Oryzias latipes: one gene and its partner. The protein of the gene in region 1 purifies or fractionates together with the protein of each later gene. This does not show direct contact. Links are inferred from orthologs where the notes say so. Each region holds a gene or a part of one and is shown on either strand. Other genes may lie near its edges.

Region 1 (4,534 bases):
ACAAGTTTTTTTAATCAAGTTATCGCTGTCCACATTTTTTGTAGATCTATTCATCGTTTAAAGGTTCCTGTTTAGGTTAACATATTACCTAAGTAAAAGCGTGTGAATGATCGGGTTCGTGAATGAGTAGTCGAGGTGCGTCCTTTGAAGATGACGTAACAAAGTGACGATCTGTAGTCGTTCTTCTAATTTGTAGTCCACATCTGTACTTTCTGTCAGAAACAACCTGAAACCTGCTCTCATTTATTCTGGTCTTGTGAATTCACACAAAAATTTTGGAAAAACATTCACAAATTTATCACCGACTCTATTTTTGCTGATATACAACTTTACTATAAAAACGTACTATTTGGTTTCCATAGTTTTGATCTCAAAGACCGTGATGCTTTCTTTTGTATAGACATGTTTTTATTTATGGCTAAATTTCATGTTCACAAAAGCTAATTTTACAATAAAAAAACTGATTTCTTTGTGTTCAAACTAGAACTGCAGCAAGTTAATTTTAGATTCAAAAAATACAAAAGCTCAAAAATAATTAACATTTGTAAATCTTTTGGAATACTGACATAAGTTTACTCTAGCATTTTCTCTTTTTTCCCTATGTTTATTTCTTTTTTCTTTCTTTATATTTAATTTTTATTCCCTTTTGTTTGACTGTTACTGATAATTAAAATCTTCCTAAGGATGTAACACGTTTATTCTGTATTCAGAATTGTAATGTACATTATAGAAGCATAAATGTTGCATTTTTTTGTTCTGTATGTTGCAATTGTTCAATAAAAAAATAAATAAATTAAAATTCCTGCCACAGACTTGAATTTCTAATGAACTCCTTCCACTCTGCAGAAACTATGATCTAGAAAAAGACACAGGTTTTTTGATTGTGACTAAAAAACTGCATCAACATAATTAAAAAACCACTGGGAACACTTTGACATTCACATTAGCGGTGCAACAAAAATGGTGATCAATATCAGAGGATCCAACTGTAGAATTTGGATCCAAATTTCAGCTCAGACGAGGAAAACAAAGACCCACATGGATTTACAGACAGTGGAGGAATCAGAATGAAGCAGAGCAGGGAGACGCTAGCCTGCCCAGCGTAGCTTCAACATCACAAATACAATGTTTTTCACAACATTTTTTTGTCTGCTCTCGATTCACAGTGATTTGAATACAGAAGTACTGAGAAATACAAAACCGAGCTTAATTTTTTAACACCATTTTCATCAGAGTGTGTCTTTAAGTTTACAATAGTATATCAAAAGTAAACTTCAAATATACTGCCTTTTTAAGTGTAGACTGAGGATACTTGTAGTACAGTTAAACAGGTTCCTTTTGTTAAGGGTGTGTAACTTTGTAGTTACTATAACAGTGAAACCTTTTATCCATGGTGGTTTAAATCGGGTTTTGATATTTACCACAGAAAGCTACATTACGTTGTAATATTTACATTTAATTGTTGTATTTATTTTATATTTCTTGTTTTTTAAACTGCTTCAATCTACAAACATCTGTGTGGTATAAACCAGAAACCAGGTTCGTGTTTTTCTTCACCTGTAGTGATACATGTTCGTCAATAGACGATCTTCGGCGGACTGCACTACGCCCTTCAGTTCCGCCCAGAAGGGAAATGACGCCACTGCAGAAGATGGCGTCCGTGTAGTCCGGCCACCGCGGTGGCTCTTTGGCCGTGTGATTCGCCTCCTTGTCGGGGCTCTCCGCGTCCGCGCATGGGCTCCAACACAGCTACGGCGGTGAGCCACTGCCGCCCGTTTTCTTGAACACGGAAACGAACTCGCAACTTCATGTCCGAAGGCGCCAGAGCTGGCTGGTCGAAGAGGGGTTGTGGGGATTCGCACCGCCGAGGTGAGCTGTTTGGATTTAGCCACTAAGCTAAGCCGTTCCTCTGTTGACCAGCGCCGACAGCCGTGAACGTGGATCCGGAGCGGCGGGCGGAGAGCCGCGGACCGTTGATGGGGTTTCCTGCCCGTGACGGAGCGCTGCCCTCCGGCCCCCGGAGCCGCCTGGAGCCCCTTTGATTCGGGAGCAGCAGCTCTCACTCCGGACTCCTGCGGGCAGAACCTTGTTTACGTGACGGACGAAAGCACTCAAACGCACCATGATTTGTCACGGGGCAGCTGTGATTCTGTGACGCGTTCACGGCCATCACCTGCAGGAGCGCCGCCGTACACCTGCTGTTGTTTTTCTGTCGTGACTCGGAGAAAATCCGGGTGCTGAGTCCCGCACACACCTCCAGGTTTGGGCCCTTTGAGACCCCCCAACACGCCAGACCATAATAATATCTCCGGAGTTATTGCAACAAACGAGAGAACTGATACGTCACTATAAATCAAACGGACCCTCTTCTTTTTGTGCATCTCTGAAAGTAGCCTCGAGCTGTTTTACTCATAATGTTCTGAAGTGATGGTTGTCATCGTTCCTGGGATTAGTTTTCAACAATCAAACGTTTGTTTTGCTCAGGTTTTTTCCCACTATTATACAATTATTTACCTGTGAATTAAATTAACTTTATTCCTTTAAAACCAAATGACAACAGATGTGTTTTAGAAAACACAGAAAAACATTTAAAAAAGGAATAACGTCAGATGTTTCAGTCACGTTTAATCCATCATTTCAATGGGATTGTATTTAAATAACGACATATGTAGGTGACAGATTGCAGGTTTTCCTGTACCCAACGTTGAGCGACTGTAAAGAAGATGGTCGGTCCTGTAGGTCACAGGGTTCTGTTCTTCAGGCCAACCGGACCTCATTTGGAAGGAGCAGATCCTGTGACAGAACTCCCTCTAACATGACGTGTACCTGCAGCAGAACCAGACGGTTCCTTTGGATCGTGTCTGAGTGGTGGGGACTGAAAAAAAGAGGAATCGGTTTCAGTTCTGGGGTGTTTGTGGGGAAGCTCCTGGTCTTTGAACCCATCATCCTCTGAACCTTTGTCTCCTGTGTGTTCTGGTAGAACCAGGGAAACACAAACACAGGAAATGCGAGCGACCCCTTAGTGCTCAGCTGTCACAGCCTGTGATCGCTCGCTCGGGCTCCAAAAGGTACGACCCCCTCCCCTCCCCGCCTCACTCCATGTTTCAGCTCCACAGACACTCATGACATTTCATGCTTTCATGCCTGTAGTTTATACAAAGTCACATCTTCAAGCGTTCCTGTTTCTTGTGGTACAAATATGACGTTTGCTGCAGATGCTGTCTATAATTTAGACTAATAAAGCTTTCAAATGTTTGAACCTCAACAGGTTTGCTTAAAACAAGAGTTTGCTGCATCAGAAAACTGAACCATAGCTGTTCTCTTCACTGATAATCATTGTTTAAATGTCCTTTAGTTTTTGAAAATAAAAATATATGAAGTGAGAAACGGCTAAGATTAAATGTCTAGATGATGTTCTCTGATTTCCTAGTTATAGTAGGAACATGAGTTTCAAAGGCTGTCATTGCAAACACAGTGAAGCAGTCTAAAGCCCCGTGCTGCCCAAAGACGTGCCTGTCTGTTAATCTGCTCAGACACTGGCTGATGTCGTGACTTTTAACAGAAACCGTCTGACATGTGACTGAATCTGAATCCTTATCAAACGATTCATTTTCCTCCTGGAACGACCTCAGTCTCTGTAAAAACCTGAGTCCAGAGAGGAGGCCGTTAGCATCACGCTGAGGTCAAGCCTGACCCCATGCTCTTCCTGAGCTGAGTCAGCTGACCTCTGCGCTGCTGATGTGTTTCCTCGCTGTGGACTCATGGCGGCTGCGGCGTGGATGGCGTGGAGCTCCGGGCAGCAGCAGCTCTGCTTTAACGTGGTGGTTGTGTTGGCTTTGTTGTTCAGGTGATTGACGCTCAGAAAAGGGACTTTGTTAACATCGTCTGGACACAAAGGGGCACTGTCCTCTGATTGGCTCGGACAACCCCCTCTGACATGCCCGTGGCCAATCAGAGGTGAGTGTGCTGTGTGTGTGTGTGTGTGTGTGTGTGTGTGTGTGTGTCCATCAAAGCAGTGAGGGTGGGCGTGATGGTCATGGGGGGTGTTTGGGGCGGGGGCTGGAGCAGCCGGAACACGGTCCCCCTCTCACTCCGCCTTCTCCCACAGGTGTGTGATGTCGGGGGCGGATGTGGAGGTGTACCTGTCCCAGGTGCACGACGGCAGCGTGTCGTCGGGCTTCCGGGCGCTCTACGAGGAGCGCCTGCTGCTGGACGTCACGCTGCTGATAGAGGAGCACCACTTCCAGGTGAGGAACCGTTTAGTGAACCCGTGGAGGGGACTTTTACGGGGGGGGGGGGGGGGGGGGGGGGGGGTTTGGAGACGCGCTCCTGAACTCCTCGTGTGGTTTCTTCAGAGGCCTCGTCTGAGGTCAAAGCAGAGGCGTTTTGGGGCGGACCAACCCAAACCGCTGAGCTGCACAGCTGCATTCAGTTGTGCTGTTATCCCTGCCTCTGCTGCTGCTGTTCACCTGCATCAGGTGTGTTTCTTAGAGGGGTTTCCCCAGCAGGGCTGTTGGAAGTAAAGCAGGAAAGT
Region 2 (4,490 bases), on another chromosome or scaffold:
AAATTATTTCTGTTTTTCCCCTCAATTTTCAGAAATGCACAAAGAAGCAGCTTTTACTCTTTGATTGGTGTCTGTGGATTTCACAGAGTGACCACTAGGGGACGTTTTGAACACGAGTCAGTTTTGACACATTTTCACATAAAAACTTTTCAAAGTTTCCAAGAAATAAAACAACAAAATCTTAAAATCCTTAACCTCCATTGTGTTACAGAATGCGTTCACTTTTCCACATTTACAGAAATCTTCAATCCTGATCAGATCTTTGTTTTCTTTCTATAAAACTAAACTTCTTTTTCTACGAATGTTTGAATTTTGTCAGTTTGAAGGAGAGAAAAGTGTGAAAATGTTTGTCTGAGAAAAGTCTAGAAAGTGAGTTTTAAAACATCCGTCCCGTAGTTTTAGAACGTTTACGATAAACGAGGGAACACGATTACAAGTCATAATCGTGTGCTAATGGGGGTGTGGTCTGTTGATTGACAGGCGACTTGCAGCAGAACACCTCTACCGGCATTACAACAGTTGTCGAGCCGTGTGTGTCGCTTATGCATTAATTCTGCTTTTGTTTACTGATGTTGATTGTTGTTGATTTCCTGAGGAACATGGCGCTCTGTCAGAATGTCAATTTTTGTAACAAGTTGAAAAAACGGTTGGGTTTATGGTAAATACGTTACTATAGCATGTCTGTGTTATTACAAAAGTTGGGATTTAGCGTAGTCAGGGTGACGTTTTATTTTACCAGTAACAGTTTTACGTGTCCCAAACATGGTTGGCAGTTTTTAACTATGCTTACGTGGCTAACATGACTAACGCGGCTAATGTGGCTAACGCAGGTAACGCGGCCAATGGGGCTAACGTGGTTAATGTGGTTAACACGGCTGATGTGGCTAACTCAGATAATGTGGCTAATGCGGCTAACATGGCAAACATAGCTTACGTAGCTAACGCGGCATACGTTGCCAATGCGGCTGACATGACTAAGCTGGCTTACGCTGCTAATGTGGCTAACATGGCAAACGTGGCTTATGCGGCTAAAGTGGCTTAAACAGCAATAACACGCGTTGTGTAATACAACTAAGGTCCAGAATGTCTTTCGTCTCACATGATGCACCGGTTGTTTAATGCGTCTTATTTACTACGTAACTTTGGAAATAACGTTTTTAATTTTGTTCCTACGCTCTTATATTTAGCTAGTTTAGCATCTTTCTACCTTAGTGCCCATGAGCCTTTTTTTAAACGATCCTCGCGTTTCTATTCCGTGAGTTCTTCTGTTGGGCTCAGCACCGATTGGCTGTTCCGATGAAAGCGTTGATCTAAAGTCCCGCCCCTCGCGCCCAGCTGCTTCCTCACCATTTCGTGGCTCTGCGGTTTGCCCTGCAGCTTCTGGTGGTAGTCGAACGTCAGCCTGTCCAGGACGGCGTGTTCCTCCTCGTCCACCGTCGCCATGGAGCGCTCGCGGTTGATCCGGTTGATGTCGATCTCCTCCTCCCCCTTCAGCACCGCGTTCCACCAGGTCTCGGAGGTCTTGCTGAGCGACAGCTGCGAGTCACAAACACCCACATGAGCCCGGAGAGAGCGCTCTTTCCTGGTGAACAGGGCCCGGTTCTGTCCCGGTTCTCACCACGACACACTTCCCGGGCTCCAGGCTCCACAGGGAGTTCTCCGTGTTGATCTTGTGCGTGAATTCCCCCTCCATCAGAGTTCTCTCCTCGCCGCCGTCCTTCGTGGACACTCTGATGCCGCTGGGCTGCAGACTGACGCTGACCTGCAGACACGCCCCCGTCAGCGCCGGATTGCCGACCTCCTGGCGGCGCAGCGGCTCGGACTCACCTGTCGGCCTCTCACCACCGTCTTCGGCACGAAGACCCGGACCTCCACGTCCGTGTAGTCCTGAGACCAGCTGTAGTTCTCCCTCTGTGCTCCGTTGTAGCTGTCGGGGTTGGCCTGAAACATGTCCTGGTTCCTGAAAAACAAACCCGTCAGGAGGCGGGCCCGTCCAGGAAGCTCCTCCTCCTCTGCGCCGGATGCTCACCCTTCTCCCGCCGCCGCCGCTTCATCTCCTTGAGACGACGGAGCTCCTCTGCCGCTGGGGGCCGCAGCCTCACCGGCAGCAGCCGCAGCGTCTGGAGCCTCGCTGGCGGCGCTCTCCGGTTGTGGCGCCTCCACGCTGCTCCTCTCCTCTGCCTTTGGGGGCTCAGAGGAGACCTGCAGCTCCTGGACTGCAGGAGGAACGCCGCGGCTCTCCTCCGCGTTCTGCAGCTGGCTCAGCGCCCTCTGCCGGTCCTGATCCGCCATCTGCTCGAACAGCCTAAACGTCTGCGGACAAAAGAAAGTCTGCCGTGGGATCCAGAAACCAGTTGGAGCTCAGAAGGAGTTTGGAGAACCAGAGGCACTGGTTCCACTGAAACCAGCTCAGTAGAAAGAGGCGTCTGGGGTTTTGAGCGGCAGGAGAGATGACGGGGCCCCTGCAGTCAGGTTTGCCCAGGGCCCCTAAACATTTTTTAAACGGTCCTGAAACACGCTGGGGATGTGTTTTTAGAGTGTAGATATTATTATCTGTGGCGCATCTCTACAAGAACCCAAACCAGAACACGAATCTAAACAAGATCTGAAACTTTGGTTCGTTCGCGGCAAACGCTCGGAAGGAAGGCACGCGCCACGCCGCGAGCGCCTTTACAAAACTTCACCTTCAGCACCATCTTCTCTGCGACTCCAGGAGGGAAGCCCATCCTGTCGTCGGGACCGGACAGCAGTCGATAAAAGTCCGTCTTTCTGTACAAAAACCCAAAGTAGACCCTCAGGAAGTCCTGAATGTTTCCGACGTGTTGCAGGATCCCCAGCAGAGCGTTGTCGTACATTTCCGTCATCTCCAGCGGCGACGCCATCGCGGCTGCGAGCGCGAGCCCTTTTCCGAAATGACCCGAGTGACCAAAACCACGAACGACAGTGTATAAATGAGGCCGGTTTGTTTTGTCTCTCTGATTACGGTTGTCTTTTTCCAGAACAATGACGCAGTTTCCGGTACCACCATGTCAAAATAAGAGCACACCAGTCGTTTTGTTTGTTTTTTTAGCTTGCTTTTCGTCGAAATCATCTTGAAGCAAGCTAATTTACAAATTAGAGAGCCCACTTAAATATGCACCAATTTAATTTTATTTATTCATTGAAATCAAGCGCAAAACAACAACAACAAAATACTGTAAAAAATGATTTATTTCCGTTCCAGCTACATAAACGCTCCCTAAGAAACAACATAAAAACAAACGGTCATAAAAACATAAAAAGGGCTGTTTTGATCGACACTTTTAGTTTGGAAGTTGTTTTTAATATAAAGCATGCGTTTTTGTTGTTCTTTTTAAATAAAAACGTTGTTATAAAACAACATAGATTAAGGACAATAGTAGTTCCGCTTCAGACGGTACAAGAAAACATGGCCGCGTCCTTCAGCTGCGGCGGGAGGCTGCTGGTGAGACAACAAAATGAACATTTATTAACATCTAAGACATTTTATTTTATCGAAAACGTCTTTTCTTAAAAATAATGATGACGTCTCAGAAACGATGATATTCTGGTTACGAACGAGAAGCTTTTCTGTGAGAAATGTTGGCCTGCCGAGAACGAAGAGACGATTAACTTCTTTAAAGACTTTTTCCCCCCATAAATCAATGCGTGTCTGTAATCCAAGTGAGCTAAAGCCACGATTTAATCCGGAAAGGTTTTCAGCATTTGAAGAAAACCCATTGGTTTCAGGATCCACCGACAGAGGGCGCTGCATTCAAATGACACTAAATCTATCTAAAGATCTCGTTTCAGTTAATAACCTCTCAGTGTTTCTCAACATTTGGAAGTAGAGCAGACCTGCATGTGAGGATCTGAGGGCTCTAAGAGGTTCAAAAAAGTATTTTGGATCCATTTAGACATTTATAAACGAAGGAACTAGTTTTAAATCAACTCTGAAAGCTGATGGGTTGATTTAAAAATCAGACGTGTTTCTCCTTCTTTCTTGAACAACAAGCTGAAGTTTATTTCTGTCTTAAAGACTCGACAACAGGTAGTTTTAGATGGAACGGAGGCAAAAACTTCTGCACTGATGGCTCAGATTAGGTCCAGATCTGTTCGTCCAGACTTTCATATGAACTTTCATTCATATGTTTGTATCTGAGAGTGAAAAGTCATCATTGGTTCTTCAACTCCCAAACTAAAGACCATTATTCCATTTCTCTGCGAGCTCTAATAGTTCACCTTTCAAATCAGAAATAAAACCAAAGGAAAGTCAAATGGTTAGCATTTTCCAAAATGACAGCTTTCTGATGGTTTTATTTCCATGGCAACCTTTTTGTTTTTTGGTCACCTGAGGACGCTCGCCACAATAACGCAGTCCAAAACCTACACACTTTACTTCCATCATTTTCCTTCCAAGTCGCTTCCCAATGATGCTTGGATCGAAATCCCTCGGAGGAGTTTCAATTTGTTGGCGGCCTCTTCACGGGGTC

The links.
Region 2: the proteins of klhl15 (region 1) and nudcd3 purify together in Homo sapiens (co-immunoprecipitation; 3 studies listed by BioGRID and IntAct, with this or other methods). This does not show direct contact. The link is inferred for Oryzias latipes from reciprocal best matches to the Homo sapiens genes KLHL15 and NUDCD3.

Annotation. Positions count from the first base shown.
Region 1 is NC_019878.2:2,979,929-2,984,462, reverse strand, and holds the start of klhl15 (kelch-like protein 15), read left to right. Parts: upstream 1-1,641; 5' UTR 1,642-1,808; coding exon 1,809-1,869; intron 1,870-2,980; coding exon 2,981-3,068; intron 3,069-3,847; exon of another isoform or gene 3,848-3,937; coding exon of another isoform or gene 3,938-3,957; intron 3,958-4,108; coding exon 4,109-4,247; intron 4,248-4,534. UniProt on the Homo sapiens protein: Substrate-specific adapter for CUL3 E3 ubiquitin-protein ligase complex.
Region 2 is NC_019870.2:1,856,875-1,861,364, reverse strand, and holds the start of nudcd3 (nudC domain-containing protein 3), read right to left. Parts: upstream 3,018-4,490; 5' UTR 2,883-3,017; coding exon 2,685-2,882; intron 2,314-2,684; coding exon 2,030-2,313; intron 1,961-2,029; coding exon 1,828-1,960; intron 1,763-1,827; coding exon 1,619-1,762; intron 1,537-1,618; coding exon 1,348-1,536; intron 1-1,347. Other genes in the region: mrps24 (28S ribosomal protein S24, mitochondrial), read left to right, coding at 3,428-3,463.